Saccharomyces cerevisiae S288C: one gene and its partners. Changing the gene in region 3 together with the main gene of any one other region gives a genetic interaction. Each region holds a gene or a part of one and is shown on either strand. Other genes may lie near its edges. The genes, in order: PLB2, ZNG1, ERF2 and TCA17.

What was found.
Region 1: mutations in ERF2 (region 3) and PLB2 together harm fitness less than expected from each alone (positive genetic interaction), as found in Saccharomyces cerevisiae (one large-scale study listed by BioGRID).
Region 2: mutations in ERF2 (region 3) and ZNG1 together harm fitness more than expected from each alone (negative genetic interaction), as found in Saccharomyces cerevisiae (2 studies listed by BioGRID).
Region 4: mutations in ERF2 (region 3) and TCA17 together harm fitness more than expected from each alone (negative genetic interaction), as found in Saccharomyces cerevisiae (one large-scale study listed by BioGRID).

What each region holds. Positions count from the first base shown.
Region 1 is NC_001145.3:277,061-282,950, forward strand, and holds PLB2 (lysophospholipase), read right to left. Parts: upstream 2,622-5,890; coding exon 501-2,621; downstream 1-500. Other genes in the region: TAF4 (Taf4p), read left to right, coding at 1-151; YMR007W (uncharacterized protein), read left to right, coding at 2,900-3,280; PLB1 (lysophospholipase), read right to left, coding at 3,530-5,524. UniProt on the Saccharomyces cerevisiae protein: Sequentially removes both fatty acyl groups from diacylglycerophospholipids and therefore has both phospholipase A and lysophospholipase activities. However, it does not display transacylase activity.
Region 2 is NC_001146.8:676,082-680,475, reverse strand, and holds ZNG1 (GTP-dependent zinc transferase), read left to right. Parts: upstream 1-1,987; coding exon 1,988-3,277; downstream 3,278-4,394. Other genes in the region: ALG12 (dolichyl-P-Man:Man(7)GlcNAc(2)-PP-dolichol alpha-1,6-mannosyltransferase), read right to left, coding at 22-1,677; peptidylprolyl isomerase family protein CPR8, read right to left, coding at 3,373-4,299. UniProt on the Saccharomyces cerevisiae protein: Zinc chaperone that directly transfers zinc cofactor to target metalloproteins, thereby activating them.
Region 3 is NC_001144.5:624,116-629,416, forward strand, and holds ERF2 (palmitoyltransferase ERF2), read left to right. Parts: upstream 1-3,002; coding exon 3,003-4,082; downstream 4,083-5,301. Other genes in the region: putative signal sequence-binding GTPase GPN3, read left to right, coding at 88-906; methionine aminopeptidase MAP1, read right to left, coding at 1,053-2,216; CDD1 (cytidine deaminase), read right to left, coding at 2,387-2,815; E3 ubiquitin-protein ligase IRC20, read right to left, coding at 4,569-5,301. UniProt on the Saccharomyces cerevisiae protein: The ERF2-SHR5 complex is a palmitoyltransferase specific for Ras proteins. Palmitoylates RAS2, which is required for its proper plasma membrane localization.
Region 4 is NC_001137.3:63,488-68,222, forward strand, and holds TCA17 (Tca17p), read right to left. Parts: upstream 1,681-4,735; coding exon 1,222-1,680; downstream 1-1,221. Other genes in the region: seripauperin PAU2, read left to right, coding at 241-603; FRD1 (fumarate reductase), read right to left, coding at 1,898-3,310; threonine aldolase GLY1, read right to left, coding at 4,142-4,735. UniProt on the Saccharomyces cerevisiae protein: Required, together with the TRAPP II subunit TRS33, for TRAPP II complex assembly or stability, and for proper Golgi localization of TRAPP and the Rab GTPase YPT31.

The DNA of each region.
Region 1 (5,890 bases), on a different chromosome or scaffold from region 3:
CATCACGGCTAGAGGAGAAAGTGGGCTAAAGTTTAGAGAAGCTAGAGAGGAGCCTGGTATAGTAATGAGGGATTTACTCTTTGCTCTCGAAAATAGGCGCAACAGCGTTCAGACTATTATTTCAAAGGGTTATGCCAAGATCAGAGATTAATTGCTCATCTCTTATACTGTCTATAATATTTAAAGGTATAGTGTTTCAAATAAACTAGGATATAAAAAAAACAAGATTGACTAACATAAAGAAGGCCGGTTGGTGTCGCTTAGTCAAGTCATCGCCAAGCTATTGAGGACCATTCAACCTTTTTGCTTTGTTCATTTTAACTTTATAATAAGGAAGATATATCAATCCTTGAAGTTAGGCATCCTTCTACCAAAAATAGCGGAAAGAGGAGTGATAATCGGGAAAAAAATTTTCATATTAATACACATTTTTATACATTTACTTGTCATTATCCTTTTGGGTGAAAGGATGTATTATGTATTGTTTCTCAGAAGGGCTTCTAAATTAGTCCAAATAATGCTGTTATGGCACCTAACAAACTCATTAGAGTATTAGTGTTCGCATAGGAAATAGCCGCAGCATTCGCTTTGTTTGCCGTAGAGGAAGAAGAACGAGCTGTAGAGGAAGAAATTGAAGAGGATGAAGAATTTGAGTTTAAAGTTGTATTTGACGAAGAGTTTGAGTTAGAAGTGACATTTGATGAAGTCGAGGTTGTTGAGTTTGATGTAGTATTTCCGGAGGTTGATGAACCTAAGAGAGCCGTTATTGGAATACCGTCAGTAGCCTCAGAGATTGCAGAGGCAATAGCACCGCTTTGATACGTACTATTTCCCGATAGTTCAGGATTAGCTGAGGTACTTAGTGTGCCGTTCCAGCAGTAATCCGCAAAACATTTGGTACATTCAGGGGGCAAGGTGGCATTTAGGCTTTCTTGCTTACGTCTAATGATGGCACAACCTATGCAACCTAAAAAGTTAGAGTCATCCGTAAAGTTGCCCATTGTAGCAGCTTCAAAACCATTTCTGATCATTCCAAGACGTTCTGTAACATTGTAGTTCATCTTCAAAGTACTTTGGTTACCATTGAATGAATGTTTTGTGTTTGGGATATATACAACTAAAGGTGGAATATACTCCAAGTCCGTCAAATTTTTTGCATCACAACCAAAAAACGTTGGCTTATTAGTTAAGCCCAAGTTAAGGAAGGTGTTAACGTCTGGAACATATGGGAAAGCCATTCCTTTACCTTGCTTAGAATACTGGCGCTCATAAGTGTTCGTCATGCACACACCACTTGGCCATGATTCATCAGTATTGTCGGATATATCCAATGCGAACACCACATCCAAGTCACGTTCCTTCTTGATTAGTGGAACCAACGGCAAATTTTGGCCGTCCTCACCACCATCAACTAAAAACAAATCATCGGCATCAACAATACTGGAAGTGTAATTGCGGTCAACAAATTCTGTATCCTTGAATGGATTTGCAGCGTAAATTGCAATATCATCGTCATCTTGGGATAGGTTGTTAACGTACTTGTTGGCAAAACTATTAATCATTTTATAATAGGTCGAAGTGGAAGCTTCCAGGGAAAATTCGTTGAATAAACTGGCGGATGTGGCAATTACAAATCCAGCATTATCGTAACCAGAAACGCATTGATCCTTGTTGACCGGTTTACCATTTGTAACGTTGGTACCTAGATATTTCACATCCGTAAAAGCGTTCAAAGAAGGATCCCAAGAACCCATTTCAAATGGAGTGAACTCGAAAAGAGTGGCATTCAAGTTTATCACGGTGGTACCTGGGTATCTACCATCTGCAACAGTAATTGGTAAAGGCATTTCACCGTTTTTGAACACATCAACATCTCTCAAAGAGGACCAAGTCAAAGCGGAGCCAGCATCTGGCAAGCTTGGAAAGAAGTTGTAAGAAAGTGCACGGGCCCACAAATCCGACAAAGATATATTGAAGCCTGCATCAGACTTAGCCTGCACTTCTTGTACAATGGACTCCCATCTTTCAATTGTGTAGGTCAAATTAGAGCCACCAGGGTTCACAATGGATTTCGTGATATTCCAGATGGAATCGCTCTCACTCATATGGTCTACAATTTCCTGTACAGAGGTCCAATTGTTCCATGCCAAAGTACCAGTCAACCAGTTACCACCGGACAAACCCGATAGATACGTGGAACTTTGTAGTAAACCACCAAGACCATGCTCGTTAGCACCATCAGTACGATTGTCCATAGCAGCAATCATACCAGCACCACCCAACATGGCACGATAACCACCACCAGAGCATGCAATACCAATTTTGGGTACATTGGAAGAGTTACTACTGAAAAGAGTGGATAGCAAAGAAGTGTCACTGAAGTTAGAAGTAGCTCTGCTTAAGAAGGAATGTAAAGCTTCTTTAGTGTACGCATCTCTTTTCTTTAACCAATCAGTTTCAGCGGTAGATAAGCCAGACGCGTTTCTAACTAAAGAGGTATCATCACTGGGACAAGGAATTATTGATGGAGCATAACCATCACCAGTAGTGGACGACGAATCTGCAGCGAGCGAAAGTCCAGAAATTAGCGAGCTAGCCTGTAATATGTTCCGTAATTGCATCTGCGTAAGAAGTGTTACTTTACCAGCGCGAGTGAATTTTAACTCACTTCTAACCCTTGATAAGATTTGAAGGCACACTAAGGAAAAACAAGCTAAAAGACATTTCTAACGCCTTGTAAAGATAACTAATTGTGCTCATATATAAGGTATATTCTACTCCACATGAGATACGAAAAGAAGAAGATTCTCAGACTATTTAACTCTTTGTCCTTTTTTTACCTTTTTTTTGATTTTTTTTTCACTTTCTTCTGTTGGTAAACAATGCCAAGGTGGAGAATATGCGGAAGAAATGTCCGCAAGGTAAAAAATTGTTGAAAAAGGCGACGCGTCCCTTTGTAGGAGCTTTTCGAAGGCGTATACGAGCCAAGAAAAACCTTATTTCCCAGTTTGGCCAGACCGGCTGCATTGGGTGCGACGGTAAATTCTCTATAGGCATCACCATTGAAAAGTATGTCCTTAATTTAGTCGTGAGAATCATCATTGTGTTCGCCCTTTGTCGTATAACCGAATTGAGTGTCTTTGATTCATCTCTAAGGTGTAAAAGCAGAAAAACCAGATTATCTAAAGCTGCAAGAAAGAAAGAAACTGATCATTTTCATGAACAGTGCAGATATGTGGAAGTGAAATTTGGCCTGCAGATGGCATATCTGCAATCCTAGCTTTTTCCTTCTGCACTTTAAACCTATCTATATATCTTCGATGAAAGTACTGCATGAACATATCTGTATAGATAGATATATGTAGGGAAGACACCCGGTATGTAAATGTTAATGCTCGTAAGATTTCGAGTTTGTAAAAATAAGATGCGGTATGCACTTGAGATCTCGTAAACTATTTGTATGTTGATATTTTTGCGCTTTTCTCACTCTCGTATTCTTTTAGAAAAGAAATAGAAACGAAGAAAGAGCCTAAATTAGACCGAAGACGGCACTAATGACACTTAAGACACCAATAAAAGTGTTAGTGTTTAAGTTAGAATAATTCACCAAAGCATTGCCCGCATTTTTCTTATGAGTGGAAGACCCAGAAGCAGAGGCAGAGGCGGAAGCAGAGGCAGAGGCAGAGGCAGAGGCAGCAGCGGCGGAGGCAGACAAGGAAGCAGAAGAAGAATAATCATCATTTCCTACACCTGAGACTGACCTGCTGTCAATAGTACCGTTCCAGCAGTAGTTGGTAAAACACTGGCTGCATTCAGAGGGCAATGTAGCATTCAAGTTTTGTTGCTTACGTCTGATAATGGCGCAACCAACACAGCCCAAGAAATCAGAATCATCAGTAAAATTACCCATTGTGGCAGCTTCAAACCCATTCTTAATCATACCAAGACGTTCTGAATCGGAGTATGACATCTTAAAAGTACTTTGGTTACCATTAAATGAATGTCTTGAATTTGGAATGTAAACAATTAATGGTGGAATGTACTCCAAGTCTGTCAAATTTCTTGCATCACAACCAAAAAAGGTTGGCTTTTTGTTCAACCCCAAGTTGACAAATGTGTTCACATCTGGAACATATGGGAAAGACAAATTGAGACCTTGGCTGCCAAATTGACGCTGATAAGTGTTAACTAATGAAGCACCATCTGGCCAATAGTCGTCAGTATCAGCAGAATTGTCTAATGCAAAAATAACATCTAGTTCACGTTCCTTTTGCAACAATGGAACTAAAGGAATATTTTGGTTATCTTCACCACCATCAACCAAAAATAGATATTCTGATTCGATAATACTGGAGGTTGCGTTCTTTTGAAGAAAATTAGCTTCCTTGAATGGATTTGGGGCGTAAATTGCAATATCGTCACTATTGTCGGATAAATCTTCCAGGAAATCGGTGGCTAAGTTAGCAATAAATGAAGGTAAATCGGTAGAATTCAATCTTAGTAAAAATTGGTTAAACAACGTAGATGAAGTGGCTGTTATGAAACCAGTGTTATCAAACCCGGCAATGCATTGGCCTTTATTAACTGGTTTACCGTTTGTAACGTTGGTACCTAAATACTTCACATCCGTAAATGCGTTCAAAGTGGGGTCCCATGAACCCATTTCAAAGGGATTAAATTCGAAAAGAGTGGCATTCAAGTTTATCACGGTGGTACCTGGGTATCTACCGTCTGCAACAGTGATAGGGAAGGGCATTTCTCCATTCTTGAAGACATCAGCTTCCCTTAAAGTTGACCATGTGTACCCTACACCACCACGGTGTAAGCTTGGCCAAAAATTGTACGCAAGAGCACGGCCCCAAACATCCGCCAAAGAGATGTTGAAACCGGCGTCTTTTTTATCCTGAACGTCATCTGATATGTCGTCCCATCTACTCCCAGTCTTAAAGATGTTAATGCCGTCTGGGGTAAGAATTGAATGAGAGATGTCCCAAATTGAGTTAGATTCTGTTGTATTATCCACGATAGCTTGCACAGACGTCCAGTTGTTCCAAGCCAAAGTACTTGTTAACCAGTTACCACCCGACAGACCTGCCAAGTAAGTTGCACCTTGCAGCAGCCCACCAAGACCATGCTCATTTGCGCCATCAGTACGATTGTCCATAGCAGCAAGCATACCAGCACCAGACAACATGGCACGGTAACCACCACCAGAACAGGCGACGGCAATCTTAGGCATATTGGAAGAGTTGCTACCAAAAAGAGTGGATAGCAAGGAAGTGTCACTGAAATTCGAAGTGGCCCTATTCAAAAAAGAATGCAAAGCCTCCTTGGTGTATGCATCTCTTTTTTTCAGCCATTCTGTTTCGTTATCTGACAAACCAGATGCTTCTCTGACTAAGTTAATATCATCATCACAGGTTACGTTCGCAGGGACGTAACTGTTATTTGGTGACCAAGCGTTAACGTTCTCTGTTAGAGAAGTCAAAACTGCAGCAGAAACCAACAAACTCTGCAACTTCATGGTTTTGTTTTATTTTCTTTCCCGTTTGCCCTTAGGATGGATAGCTTCGTGTAATTTACGTTATATGAACGAAAAAAGAGAGAAATGTTAAGAAAAGAACGAAGAATTGATTAGTTAGTATAACCTAATAAATGTAGAACCTTACAGCGAAGAGACGTTTCCGTTGGTTAAATGTGGTGGAAGCGTCTTTATATATTAGATGATGTAGTTTACCTAAGCAGTTAGAAGAAAATAAAGTAACCAAGTCATCTTCTAAGCAAAAATAGGAGACGTAAATGAATGTTGCTTAACTGAGAAAAATATGCGGGAATAAGCGGACATGTTACTGTATGAGGTTATTTCCCTTTATAGATAAGGGCGTAAACC
Region 2 (4,394 bases), on a different chromosome or scaffold from region 3:
TGGAATTGACGTTAGCTATTATCAATCAGTTTTTTCATCTTGTTTGATTCTCTTATAGGTGAAGAAGACATCGCTTTTAACAATCGAATTGGCCGTCAATTCTTTCAAAAAAACGGTAGGGGTCTTGTCGAAAATGATCTGTTTGAGTAGAGACAAAACATTCACTCTCTCTTGGAAAACAAAGTTCTTAATGTAGGTTGGGTCAAATCCAGTAAACATCTTTGTTGTGTTAACTAGCTCCCAATGGTTGGTAGTCTTATTCTCGAATGGCAATTGAGAGGCGGTTGGCTCGTGGGTGATCAAGAAATCAAAGGAGGGCCACATTTCCTGCAGTAAAGTCGTATTTTCAGTCTTATCGTAATTGATGCCGTACACACCGTAGTTCAATTCACCAAATAAAGTGACACCTGTCATGCAAGGAGGTATGCTGATATGAACTGTAGCGTTTGTAATATTTTTTTCCACAATCATGTCATTAAAAGAAGTTAAAGCCTCGCCGCCTGGATAATTCATTCTTGATATATACAAGAACGCCATTGAAATGAAAAAGGAGGTCATTATAGATAAGGGCAATATAGCCAAACATAAAACATTGGTAATCTTTTTTACTTTCATATTCTCCCATAGATGTGCTGCTCCTGTGGCACCTAGCAACATGATAGATGGAACAGCGTAGATGATGAATCTCCATTCTTTGTGAGGTTGAAAGGATAAGACGATAATGTGGAAAAGAGATGCTAGTGAGACAATTTTTAATTTTGCAGGTGCTAATTTATAGCCGAAGTAATTCAATAGTAAAACAGTTGGTGGCATAAACATCATTCTCAAGTAATGCGTGAAATAAGCAGTAACTGGCTCCACACCCCACTTGGAAGCGTAACCCGCAACCACGTTGAACAAGAAACCATCTACCTCAGGTAGACACCATTCTTGCCAGAAATATGAATCAACGGTGATACTGATGGCGGAACCAAGTCCCAAGCCAAAGATACCGAATTTGATAGCATCGAATAAAGAAATCTTCTTGAAGATGACGCTAAATAGAGCAATACCAGCACTGAGAGCTGACACTTCCAGTCTAAATACAATTGCCACGAGCGCAGATAGGAATATAGCTGCATTATAACGACCCAATAAAACCCACCCCAATGCGACGTTGGTTAGAGGCAGAGTCATGACAAAATTAGGCAGAGTCCTAGTGCTGTAGAACATGAGGTGGAAACTGCCAATTAAAAATAAAAGAAACCATGTACCAGCGCTATCGTAAATGTATATATCCTTGTCTTCATTTTCTTCCTTTTTCTTTTCAGTGATTTCATCAAACATATCTTGCAAACAATTCTTTAAATAGATAAAAGAAAGCCCATTGGTGAGGCCAACAATCCCCCTAACGACCAATTGAACATCTATAGACGTAGGCCTGGAAGTTTGGATCAAAGAACTCAAGTAAAGATAAGGTCTCGAAAGCATTGCAATAATCACAGCACCAACGAATGTTCTAGGGACTACTCCAGGAAATTTCAAGTGGTCATATTGGGAGATATCAAATACGCTGTAGGTTAAAATATCATGAATGGCTTGAATATTAAAACTCTCTTCCACCTTGGTGAATGGAGCTTGGATTAGATGAAAGGAAATCACGGTCAATAGCACTGTATCAAGGACAGACCAACGCATTGTCAACTGAATCGTTGTTTAATGGCTTTATTCAACTCTTTTAACAACACTAATCGTTAATGGTTTCACTTGCTATTAGTAAATTCCTTGCGTTATAAACTGTGAAGTGCCACGACATTTAATGCCGGCTGGTAAAAGGTTGTTCATTTTTAAGGGCCGAATTTTTCATTTTCATTTTCATTTTTTTTTTTTTTTCACTATTGGAATAACATGTATATTATAAATATTATATAATATTAAATGTTTAATGCGCTTGTAAAGCCAAGAACACCCTTTTCATTGAGGAATTTTCAACTTTTAAAGCGGAAGAATGTCTGCATTGAGAAACATCAAGTTCAATGAAGAAGAAGATGGTGAACTACCCTGCCTCGTAACAGGTGAAGAAAATAATCTACAAGAAATTTTGGAAAATGTCTCGTATGATGGTGGAAATATTGTTAGCGATGCAAAAGTTGAAAGGGTAAACAAGCAAGTGGAGAACACTTCTGCAGGCGCAACAGATGTGCACGAGAAAAAGCGTATTCCTGTGAGCATTATTACCGGCTATCTAGGATCAGGTAAATCGACGTTGCTGGAAAAAATTGCATTAAAAGGTGCAGATAAAAAAATTGCCGTAATTTTAAATGAATTTGGAGATTCTAGTGAAATCGAAAAGGCTATGACCATTAAAAATGGATCGAACAGCTACCAAGAATGGTTGGATTTGGGTAACGGGTGTCTGTGTTGTTCGTTGAAAAATATAGGTGTTAAAGCCATCGAAGATATGGTGGAGCGTTCACCTGGTAAAATCGATTATATCCTTTTAGAGACCTCCGGTATTGCAGATCCCGCCCCCATTGCGAAAATGTTCTGGCAGGACGAAGGATTGAATAGCAGCGTTTACATTGACGGGATCATCACGGTTTTGGATTGTGAGCATATACTAAAATGCTTAGATGATATTTCCATCGATGCCCATTGGCATGGTGACAAAGTTGGTTTGGAGGGGAATCTGACTATTGCACACTTCCAACTAGCCATGGCTGATCGAATTATAATGAACAAATACGATACTATCGAACATTCACCAGAAATGGTCAAACAATTAAAAGAAAGAGTACGGGAAATAAATTCTATCGCACCGATGTTCTTCACCAAGTATAGTGATACGCCGATTCAAAATTTACTAGATATTCATGCATACGACAGTGTACGGATATCTGACATCTTAGATAGTGGTAGCGGAAACGGTACCATTCATGATGATCGAATGGGCACAATAATGCTTACTTTCAGACCATTAAAAAACGAGGAAGAATATAATAATAAGTTTATTAAGCAATTTTTGCAACCTTTATTGTGGAAGAATTTTGGAGCCATGACAGTGCTGGGAGGGCGTCGCCGAGATGACGGCCGTGATTGGGAAGTACAAAGAACTAAAGGTCTGATACTTATTGAAGGAGAGAACCCCATTGCTCGTGTAATCCAAGGCGTCCGCGACACCTACGATGTCTTTCCAGGCAAATATGACGGATCCAATAAAGAGTGTAAAATTGTGCTGATTGGGAAGTACCTAGAAAAGGAATCCATAGAGGAACTGTTACGTAAAACCCTGGAATGATGGTTGGCATAATAAAGACGAGGTAAGTTATGTATATTTATACGTATGTATGTGATACAAAATGAATGAATATTAAGCGGATGGATCGAAACATTTTAATCCTCTCTAATAGAAACTATTTTAGACGATCTGTTGAATATTCTTTTCCTGTACTTGGCCAAAACGTAGAAAAGTAACAATACCGAAATACCAAGCATAATCTTTGGTAAAGGATGGTGAAGCTGATTATATTTTGCGTCTTCTAACTTTCTTTGACTACCCTGGTATAAATAATTCTTCAATGTAATACCTTTCTCCAAATCGCCGTTTTGGTAATCTTGAAGCCTTTGTAAATACTTTTCGTGAGCTTCCTTTGCATGCTGAATCCTGTGTTCCTGGGATGAAATGTAACCTATTGTTATTGGTTGCTCTGGTTTGCCATTTTCGTCAGTTTTCACATTAGCTAGTTTATCCATCAGATCTTTTAACCCGGCGGTAACTTGGCCAAACACAACACTTTCACCTTCAAGTGGCGTCTCACTGGTCTCAATTATAAACTTAAGACCCTTATCGTCCTTAATCATGGAAACTCTGCCTGGCCTATCATGAATTAAACTATGATTTTCTTCCGGGAGTTTTGGAGCCAACATTTCCGTTTCTTCAATAGAGGAGGAAGAAACGGAGCTACCTTCTATAGCTCCATTCGGTAGAATTTTATCAAAATCGCGTTCTGGCGAGTAACTGTGACGGGAAGCAAGGCGATCTTTTACACTATCAACATACTGGCAAAAAGTCATTACTGTCTTGGGCACCATAGTCCCGTATAAGTCTATTGTTATGAGACGGCCGGCTTCTTCCGAACTTTCAGGATCTGTGAAAACAATTCCGATGTTTACATTATGTGTAATAGGAGGGTCTGGTGCGTATTTTTTCTTTAGGTCTAAGGAGTCTGAAGAAGCCCTTTTGTTATCCACAGGTAATGGCAGAGCCGTTATGCAACTAAACATGAATGCCACATAAAGATAAAGAAAAAAGCTCTTCATTGGGAACCAATGTATACAAATTGTAATAATCTTTCAATTGTGATACTGAATATGAATAGTCTTCTTTATTTATCTACTGCAGTAGTTGATTCTAT
Region 3 (5,301 bases):
AGAAAGATCAATAATTAAGAGGTTGGCAAGTCATCCTGATCGTGAAAAAAACTTAACAAGTACAAATAGAGTAATCAGCATTGGAAAATGTCTCGCGTTGGTGTCATGGTATTAGGACCTGCAGGTGCGGGGAAAAGCACATTTTGTAATTCCATTATATCACATATGCAAACTGTAGGACGAAGAGCTCATATTGTAAATTTAGACCCTGCCGCAGAAGCTACCAAGTATGAATTTACTATTGACATTAGAGATTTAATTTCCTTAGATGATGTCATGGAAGAAATGGATTTGGGCCCCAATGGTGCGCTAATATATTGCTTCGAATATCTTTTGAAAAATCTAGACTGGCTTGACGAAGAGATCGGGGATTTCAACGATGAATATTTAATCTTTGACTGTCCCGGTCAAATTGAACTCTACACGCATATCCCTGTCTTACCGAACATAGTGCGCCATTTAACTCAACAACTGAATTTCAACCTTTGCGCCACATATCTTTTGGAAGCGCCATTTGTGATAGATAGCTCAAAATTTTTTAGCGGTGCACTATCTGCTATGTCTGCGATGATTCTATTGGAACTACCCCATATCAATGTGTTGAGCAAACTAGACTTGATAAAAGGCGACATCAATAAGAAAAAACTGAAAAGATTTTTGAATCCCGATGCAATGTTATTAATGGAAACGGAAGGAATGAATCAAGCATCCAACCCTAAATTTCTAAGACTGAACCAGTGCATAGCCAACCTCGTCGATGATTTCGGTATGGTTCAATTTTTACCTTTGGAATCTAATAATCCTGACAGTATAGAAACCATATTATCGTATGTCGATGATATAACACAATGGGCAGAAGGACAAGAACAGAAAGAGCCTAACGACCAAATAGATGTCGAAGAATAGTTATAGAGAAAATTATGTACGCTTGATTCATATAAAAAGAGGTAAAAAAAAAAAATAGCTTCTCATAATAACCAATTCGGACTCGGGAAAGTACAAGTTCAAGTTTTTTATTGGTTTCTATATGTATAAGATAAAAATACCTAGATCTATTTAATTCTCTGTCTTGGGCCACCTGGTGATTTCTTATTCCTGGCTGTTAGGATTTCAACACCATGTTCGGTAACCAACAGTGTATGTTCAAATTGAGCACTCAGTTTACCGTCTTGGGTGGTAGAAGTCCAGTCATCAGGCCAGGTCATATCCTTCCAAGTACCTTCATTAATCATAGGTTCGATGGTGAAAACCATACCTGGTTTCATAACACCAGGTGTTCTATTCTTGGCGTAGTGGGGAATATTTGGGGAACAATGGAAAAATTCACCAACACCATGTCCACAATAAGTTCTTACTACACTGCACTTATTTTCGGTAGCGTGTTTTTCAATATGATCACCTAACTCTTGGAAGGTGGTACCTGGCTTACACATTTTAATGGCTAGTTTCAAACATTCTCTTGAGGTCTCAGTAGTATTAAGAGCTTCCTTAGAAATGTTTTCGCCGACATAATATGTCTCATTCAAGTCTGCATGATAACCTTGGTAGTATAAGGAAACATCTAAATTGACAATATCACCTTCCTTCAAGACAGTTTTATCGGGCACACCGTGACAAATAACTTCATTGACAGAGGTACAAAGCGATTTAGGAAAGTTGTAATAATTAAGAGGGGAAGGGTAGGCACCTCTCTTAATTGTTTCATTGTGGACGATTTCATCTAATTCATCTGTAGTGATGCCTGGTCTGACATGGGCAGCGGCAATATCAAGAACTTCTCTACCCAACATACATGCCTTTCTAATCTTCTTAATTTGATCTTTCTTGTATATAGGGATGTTGTTAAGTCTATCATTTCTTTGTTCACTGACTGGTAGCCCATTAGCGGCCCAGTCCGGTTTAGGAATATCTTCAGGGACATACCTTCTTGGGGTAAGTGGATATGAAGCCTTCACTTTACCAGAATATTTGAATTTTGGGAAAGGATCATAAGCACCTTCCAAGCCGTCCTTAGCATTGTGCAAAGCTTTGTGAGCTTTGTAGTTGTTTTCATAACAGCTTGTGTCGCAGAAAATGGAAACGATGCCTTGTTTTAGACAAACAGGGCATTTCATTTGGGACGAAGTTTCTCTACCACATTGCAAACCGGAGCAATATATCTTGGTAGGATGAGAAGCCTGATCGGAGGTAGTAACTGTTGTAGTTGCAGTGCTCATTATACAATTTTTTTGCTTATTTTTTTCTTGCTAGGAATATACACAATAGCGTTCTTGGGATGAATAATAATAATATCAGTTTTTCTTCTTTATATGAAAAATGAAAAAAAAAAAAAATAAGTAAAAAATTTTCGCTTTCTTTTCGGGGAGCAGCCAAATAAAGATTGCTGCTAGTTTAAATGAGATGGACCAAAAGCCATGGGCAGCAGTTCTCCCATTGTCATGACTTTAGAACGAGAACCTGTGGAATTAAGCATGACTATTGGAAAGTCCTTGACCACAAATTCATTGATAAACTGCCTGCAAACGCCGCAAGGGGAAACACACTGGTCCTCAGAATCGCCACAAATGACCATGCATTTCCATCCTGAGCGATGGCCTGCCATTAGAACTTGTATCATAGCAGATCGTTCTGCACATATACAATTACTGTAGCTTGCATTCTCGACATTAGCACCAGTGAAGATAACATCGTTATTTGTTAATATGGAACAACCGACACGGAAGTGAGAATAGGGGCTATAGGAGAGTTCACACGCCTTCAGTGCCGCCCTTTTTAAGGCTTCCAGTTGTCTGTCTTCTATGCCACCTACTTTCATTACCTTATTTCTCTGCTTGAGATTCTCTGTTTGGTTTTCCTAGTTTCTTGTACATAAACAGTTTGTGTTTATTTTGTCAAACTACTCGGAAATTGGCGAGCAGCGCCTTATCAAGATTACAGTTTGCAAATATAAAAATGTAAAGGAAAGAAAGCGTAAGGTAACAAGAAGAGAAACGGGGAAGATAATGGCCTTGGTCTCTAGAAGGTCGACAAGATCGGAAAGCACCTCAATAACAAAGGAAGAGCATACAGGAGAAGGTTCATTGACGAAGTTGTTCTTCCGATGGCTTGTTACCTTGGAGGGTGATCAGGATATAAACGATGGAAAAGGTTATATATCGTTACCGAATGTCTCGAATTATATATTCTTCCTTGGTGGCAGGTTCAGGACAGTAAAGGGCGCCAAACCGTTGTGGTTAGGTGTTCTCCTTGCTATTGTATGTCCCATGGTTCTCTTCTCCATATTTGAGGCTCACAAATTGTGGCATACCCAAAATGGTTATAAAGTGCTGGTCATTTTCTTCTATTATTTTTGGGTCATAACGCTAGCATCCTTTATCAGAACAGCCACTAGTGATCCTGGCGTTCTTCCGAGAAATATTCATTTAAGTCAACTAAGAAATAATTATCAGATCCCGCAAGAATATTACAACTTGATAACACTACCAACACATTCTTCAATTTCAAAAGACATTACTATCAAGTATTGTCCATCATGTAGGATATGGAGACCACCTCGGTCTTCTCACTGTTCCACATGTAACGTCTGCGTAATGGTTCATGACCACCATTGCATATGGGTCAATAATTGCATAGGAAAAAGGAACTACCGGTTCTTTTTAATATTCCTGTTAGGTGCAATACTTTCGTCCGTCATATTATTAACTAATTGTGCCATCCATATTGCACGGGAATCAGGGGGGCCTCGCGATTGTCCCGTTGCAATATTGTTACTTTGCTATGCAGGGCTAACCTTATGGTATCCGGCAATACTGTTTACTTATCACATATTTATGGCAGGTAATCAGCAAACAACAAGGGAATTTTTGAAAGGTATTGGATCGAAAAAAAACCCTGTATTCCATCGTGTGGTCAAGGAGGAAAACATATATAATAAGGGGTCCTTTTTGAAAAATATGGGTCACTTGATGTTAGAACCAAGGGGCCCAAGCTTTGTAAGTGCCAGAAAGCCACATGAAGCTGGAGATTGGAGATTTATGGATTTATCGCCAGCACACAGCTTTGAAAAAATACAGAAAATATAAGGAAGTATAGATATAAAGAACTCAGCGACACAGTAGTACGTAAAATATAAAAAGGTTACTGAAAGGAGTGAATTCCGCCATAGTATAGGTTGAGTATACGCAAATAAACGTTGGAAATTGGCTAGAATGTTAAAAAAAACATTCATTAAAAGGTTCTTTTCGTATAACTTTTACAACAAATAAGTGGTTGTTTGGCCGAGCGGTCTAAGGCGCCTGATTCAAGAAAATATCTTGACTGCAGTTAACTGTAGGAATACTCAGGTATCGTAAGATGCAAGAGTTCGAATCTCTTAGCAACCATTATTTTTGCCTTCCGAAAATTTTGAAGCTACATATTAGCACTCTTCTTCAGATGTCAGACAACGTGCAGCATCTTTTTTTCCTACCATTGAATATATATATAGTAATTACGGCAACCGTTTATATAAAAATTCAAAAGATTAAATATTTTAATATATTAGTGTCTGGTTTAAAAGTCATACTTCTCTAATCACTACCGTGAAAAAAGCAGTTCCATAAGTGTTCATTACTGACTTCTTGGTCTACCACGCTTATCTCAAACTTCGCATCATCGCTTTCCTCATTATCCGTTTCATCTTGTGCTTCGTCGTATTTATCGCCTTTTTTTGACTTCTCCTTTCTTTTGCGCTCTTCGAGTATACATTTATATCTGAGGATGTTTTCTTCAACGGTATTTCTGATCATGAAATTCCACACAAAAGTTTCTTCATCTTGTCCTATACGATTATTCCTTCCCATAGCTTGTAATTCATCACTATTATTAAGGATAGGATCTAGTAGGAAAATATGTTTTGCATTTATCAAATTCAGGCCGGCACCTAAAGTTTTCACATTCAAAAGTAGGCAAGTGACGGAAGGCTGGCGTTTGAAGTTATTTATAGTTTCGCCAACATTGGCTGTATTAGATAGACATGCCAAGTGTTCAATGTGATACAACTTTAATACCTTACCAATGACCTTTAAATATTCTGTCTTTTGAGAGTATAGAATAACTTGTGGCGGATCAGCGTTTTCCTGCTCACTTTTTAGCCTCAGGTAAGATATTAACTTGATGACGAAATCAATCTTAGCACCAAAACTTTCCTTTATGTGAATTTGATGGACTTCATTAATTTGATGGAATTGCTCGTATTTATTTCCGAATAATTTTTCTACTTCACTCATATTGGATATAATCGAGTTTTCATTTGAATTATCT
Region 4 (4,735 bases), on a different chromosome or scaffold from region 3:
TCAAAACCGCGCCCTCTTATACGAGACCTCCAAAAATGGATCGTTCATGAGTAAAGGCATCTCAATAACAATAGCAATAACAATAATGTTCATGAGGTGAAAGGTGGCCCCTCGTTCATGTAAGAGAAGCTGGCCGAGAAATTCATATAAATTGAACTGCTTTGGTTACCTCTCTTTGGTATATGCCTCCACTCTTCTCTTCCTAGTTAAGCTTATATCAGCACAAACAAAACAAATAAAATGGTCAAATTAACTTCAATTGCCGCTGGTGTTGCCGCCATCGCTGCTACTGCTTCCGCAACCACCACTCTAGCTCAATCTGACGAAAGAGTCAACTTGGTTGAATTGGGTGTCTACGTATCTGATATCAGAGCTCATTTGGCTCAATACTACTCTTTCCAAGCTGCTCACCCAACTGAAACCTACCCAATTGAAGTTGCTGAGGCCGTTTTCAACTACGGTGACTTCACCACCATGTTGACTGGTATTGCCCCAGACCAAGTGACCAGAATGATCACCGGTGTTCCATGGTACTCCAGCAGATTAAAGCCAGCCATTTCCAGTGCTCTATCCAAGGACGGTATCTACACTATCGCAAACTAGAGACAAACGCCAATTTAATGAAGGAAATGCTATGAAACTTAGATAATGAAATAAAAAAAAACCCTTTTTTTTTTTTTGGTAGTATAAATATCTTTATACGTACATACGTGAACAATCACATCATATCTGTCAATTCTCGTTGTAACCATAACCTAGCACTTATTTCAGACTTTCCAAAGGTCGCAGTATCTTTATGACGAGCCATCCCATGTAAAAATTGCCGTGCCGGATATGAAGTGACAAAGATCAGTCTATATCTCGGAAAGCCAACAAATATCTTCATTATGAAGTAACGTATAGTGATTGCTTCCACATCTGTTCAATTCGGACAATTTTCGTTAGCAGTAGAGTCAAAGCGATCGCCTTAATTGTCTCCGTATCTTATTTATTCATGAACAGCATGACAATTGACAGTCACTTGAATGAAGTAGAAAGTTTGATTGTCACGGTCATCTGAGATATACTACCGGCACCTGATCCCCGCTAATTAGGCAAGGCGAAACTGTCACCAAGTTGGACATATTAGACATTAATAACTTCTCTGAATCGCTCTCACTCCAAAGCAGTGACATTAAATTTTGCTTTCATTCGTGAAAGAATCGACTAATAAATTATCATTTATAATTCAACTTCAGTTGAAATAAACAACTCATCAAATTTTCTTTCCAAGCTTTTTATAATGGACTTTTCGTCACCGCTAACAAGTAAAGGATTACATTTGACACGTATATAGATTTTTCTTACGGTTTCGAAAATCTGATTGATTGCTTCAAATTCATCATCAGCTCCACTTAGGCTTTTTTGTTCAAATCCAATGACAATCTTCAGGCCCGTCTGCTTAATCAACATAGCAAATACAGAGACACCTTCCAATTGAAAAATTGACTTCAGAAGAGGTTTGGAATCTAAAGAATGCCATTCAACCAAAGCACTTTCAAAATAATCTAACGATATGTTAGAAAGCACGTTATATTTGAGTACATCATTCATCTCATTCTCCGCCTCATTAGGGACGTAAATCAATATAGGTTTATCAGATTCATCTATCAATGATACGAAGCAAGGCCTCAAGCTCATAGTTTGGTGATATAAACGTACAATTTGATTTTTGGAGAGAATATTTACTCAATTTTCAACTCAATAACTTTTATGTAAAATGTTTCTTGGCCGTCGATGAGCTCTTCCGGCAGAACTTCGAAAGTGAAAAAAAAAAAAAAAAAAAAATAATAATAATATTAATACTACTTATATACTATTAAAAAATCGTTTAGAAATGATTCATTTATAAAATTCGTTACTTGCGGTCATTGGCAATAGATTCAGCTGCGGTTCTCCCAAAGACAACGCATTCTAACAAACTTGAACCACCCAACCTATTGGCGCCATGAACACCGCCAGAAACTTCACCGGCCGCGTACAGGCCTTTTAGTAGCCTTTCGTCGTTCTTGCCAATGACTTGAGCCTTGACATTGATTCTAGCACCACCCATGGTGAAATGGACAACCGGTGTTACTTCACCAATAAAAACCACAGTTTCTGGAGTAACGTCAGAGCCAAATTCGTTGAGAATAACGGTACGTCCCAACGGATCAGCCTTGGTAGTGAAGGAAGAGTATGTTTGCAATTCCTCGCATAATTGGGCGACAGTGATTGGTAAATTATATTCAGAAACAACTTGAGATAATGTCAATTTCTGTACAAGTTTCTTGAACATGTAAAAATCTAAATTATTCTTCAAATCTGTGTACATTTTTTCGCCCATAACCAATAGTGCTCTGTTATCCTCTTGAGGACAAACCTTTTGAATAGCTGCAGTGACTACATCTCTTGTGGTCAATTCGTTGACAAATCTTCTACCGGTAATAGGGTTTAATAGGATACCACCAAGACCTCTTAAGGATTCGGCAGCCAAGAATTTCCAGCTTGAGCTACGGTCATTTGGATCAATGAACCCAGTTGGATGAACTTGAATTTGGTCCATGTCAATCAGATCAGCGCCTAACTTCTGCAGAAGCCTTTGACCATCACCAGTTGTTTGTTGCCCGTTTGTTGTTGGCAAGTTCACCAGTTCGGGTGCGTATTCTTTAAGCATTTCCTTAGAAAAGCCAAACCCTCCAGAACAAAAAACGACATCGTTAGCACTCACCATGTGCTTTTCGCCATTCTTGTCCTCGTACACTACAGCAGAAATGGAGCCATCCTTTTCATGGATGTCTACGACTTTACTGTCTAAGTTAATCTTAACTAACTCTGGTTTAGTCTCAGCTAATTTCTTCAAATTGTTAGATAAGGCAGAAACAATTTCGAAACCTGGAGGCAACTTCCCAGACGATCTGTGAGTTCTTGCCACAGAGTGGCCACCCAATTGAGCCAATAGGTCCAATTTCAAATCAAATTCGTTTTTCAACCATTCAATAGCCAGGGGAGAATCATTGGCCAACTTAGCCATTAATTCTTGGACACCTTTACCTTTAGCAGACTTGATGGTGTCATCTTCAAATAAGCGTGGGGAGTCCTCGATGTGGAAGTGACGTTGAGTCTCGGTGCAAGCACCGTTAATACCACTGGAGGCCTTGATAGAGTTCCCACCGATCGAGGAAGCCTTTTCGAGGATGGTTACAGGGATGTTATACTTGTTAACCAATTCATTGGCAGCAGCCAGCCCGGCCAAACCGGTTCCAATAACAACAACGGGAGAGAGAGACATTTACAATTACGGATGAGGGGTTGTTGAAGTGAAGATAAGAAAAAAAAATGGGGTGCTATGTCAGCGTATTGTTCTCAGCTTTTATACGTGCAATAGATTAAGCTGTTCAGGAACGCGACGCGTTGCCCCCGTTACCGTTTGAAAAGAAAAAAATTTTCTTTTTCATACCTGTCTCTATTGTTTCAGTCATTCACTGCATGATGACAAATGAAAGAAGAAAGACAATAGTAGTAAAAGCAAAAAAGGAATTAAAGTGAACGTTTTTTAGACTCTTACGCATACATATAAATATATATATATATTTGTATAAAAGGTGTACGTCGAAATCCTGTGAAGAAACCCTGCGAGAATATACATGGGTACATTCAATCTTAATACGTAGTATCGTAGAATACAAAGAAATGTGCTTCTCCACGTGGATACGTACCGTTGTAAACTTTAATCAAGTACCAAAAAAACCAAACATATTCAGTCGATCTCTCAATGGGGAACAAAGAAAAGAGGTTCTTACCTTTTTTTCCTCCTTCCCTCAGAAAGACCACCTTCGTCCCTCCATAATAGGGTAGTTAGTCGCTAGGTGCGCTGGAAACTAACCATTGGTTCTCAAATGTGCCGACATAATTAGTTATAATTATGGTGTGAGAGTTGAAATATCCTTGAATAACAAAACAGAAAAAAGAAAAAACCCATTTGAATATAAAAATCATTGATGCAAAAGAAAGCCGTTAAATCTACAATGCCACGAAATTATTGTAATGTATGAAAAAAAGGAAGAGGGTAGCAATCCTAAAACAAAAACCCTAACAATACACATGATGCAACTGGAACGCATCAGTATTTGTAGGTTTTTATTTCGCGGATAGCGTTGCCATCAACGTCGACCTCGGTGGATTCACTACGGTAAATCTGGGTAGGTCCGTTACAGTCGAAAGGATGTTCTTTAGCATAGTCGAAGGCCTCGGAGATGGCCAATTTGACTTTTTCCAAAGTATCTCTGGTGACTTGATAGTGGAACGAGACTCTACCACCCATTAGCTTAACGTTGTACTTCAAACCCTTCTTAACAAGGACATCTGGGTCCATTCTAGCGGCCTTCAGGTTAATAAAGACAAAGTTGGTGTCTGCTGGAGACTCTAGCGGGATGCCCTTTGCCTCACAATATTCGGCTAATTCATGAGCCAAAGAGTGCGAGTACAGCAATTGGGACTTCCAATCGTTGTTGATGTTTACAAGAGCCATTCTAGCCATCATACCAGATTGTCTAATACCACCACCTTGTTGTTTTCTGAAATGGGTGGCCTTCTTGACAAACTTAAGGTTCCCAACCAAGACGGACCCAATAGGAGCACCCATAGACTTGGATAGACAGATGGAGATGGAGTCGAAGATTTCCCCATATTGCTTTAATGGCACGCCAGATTGTGC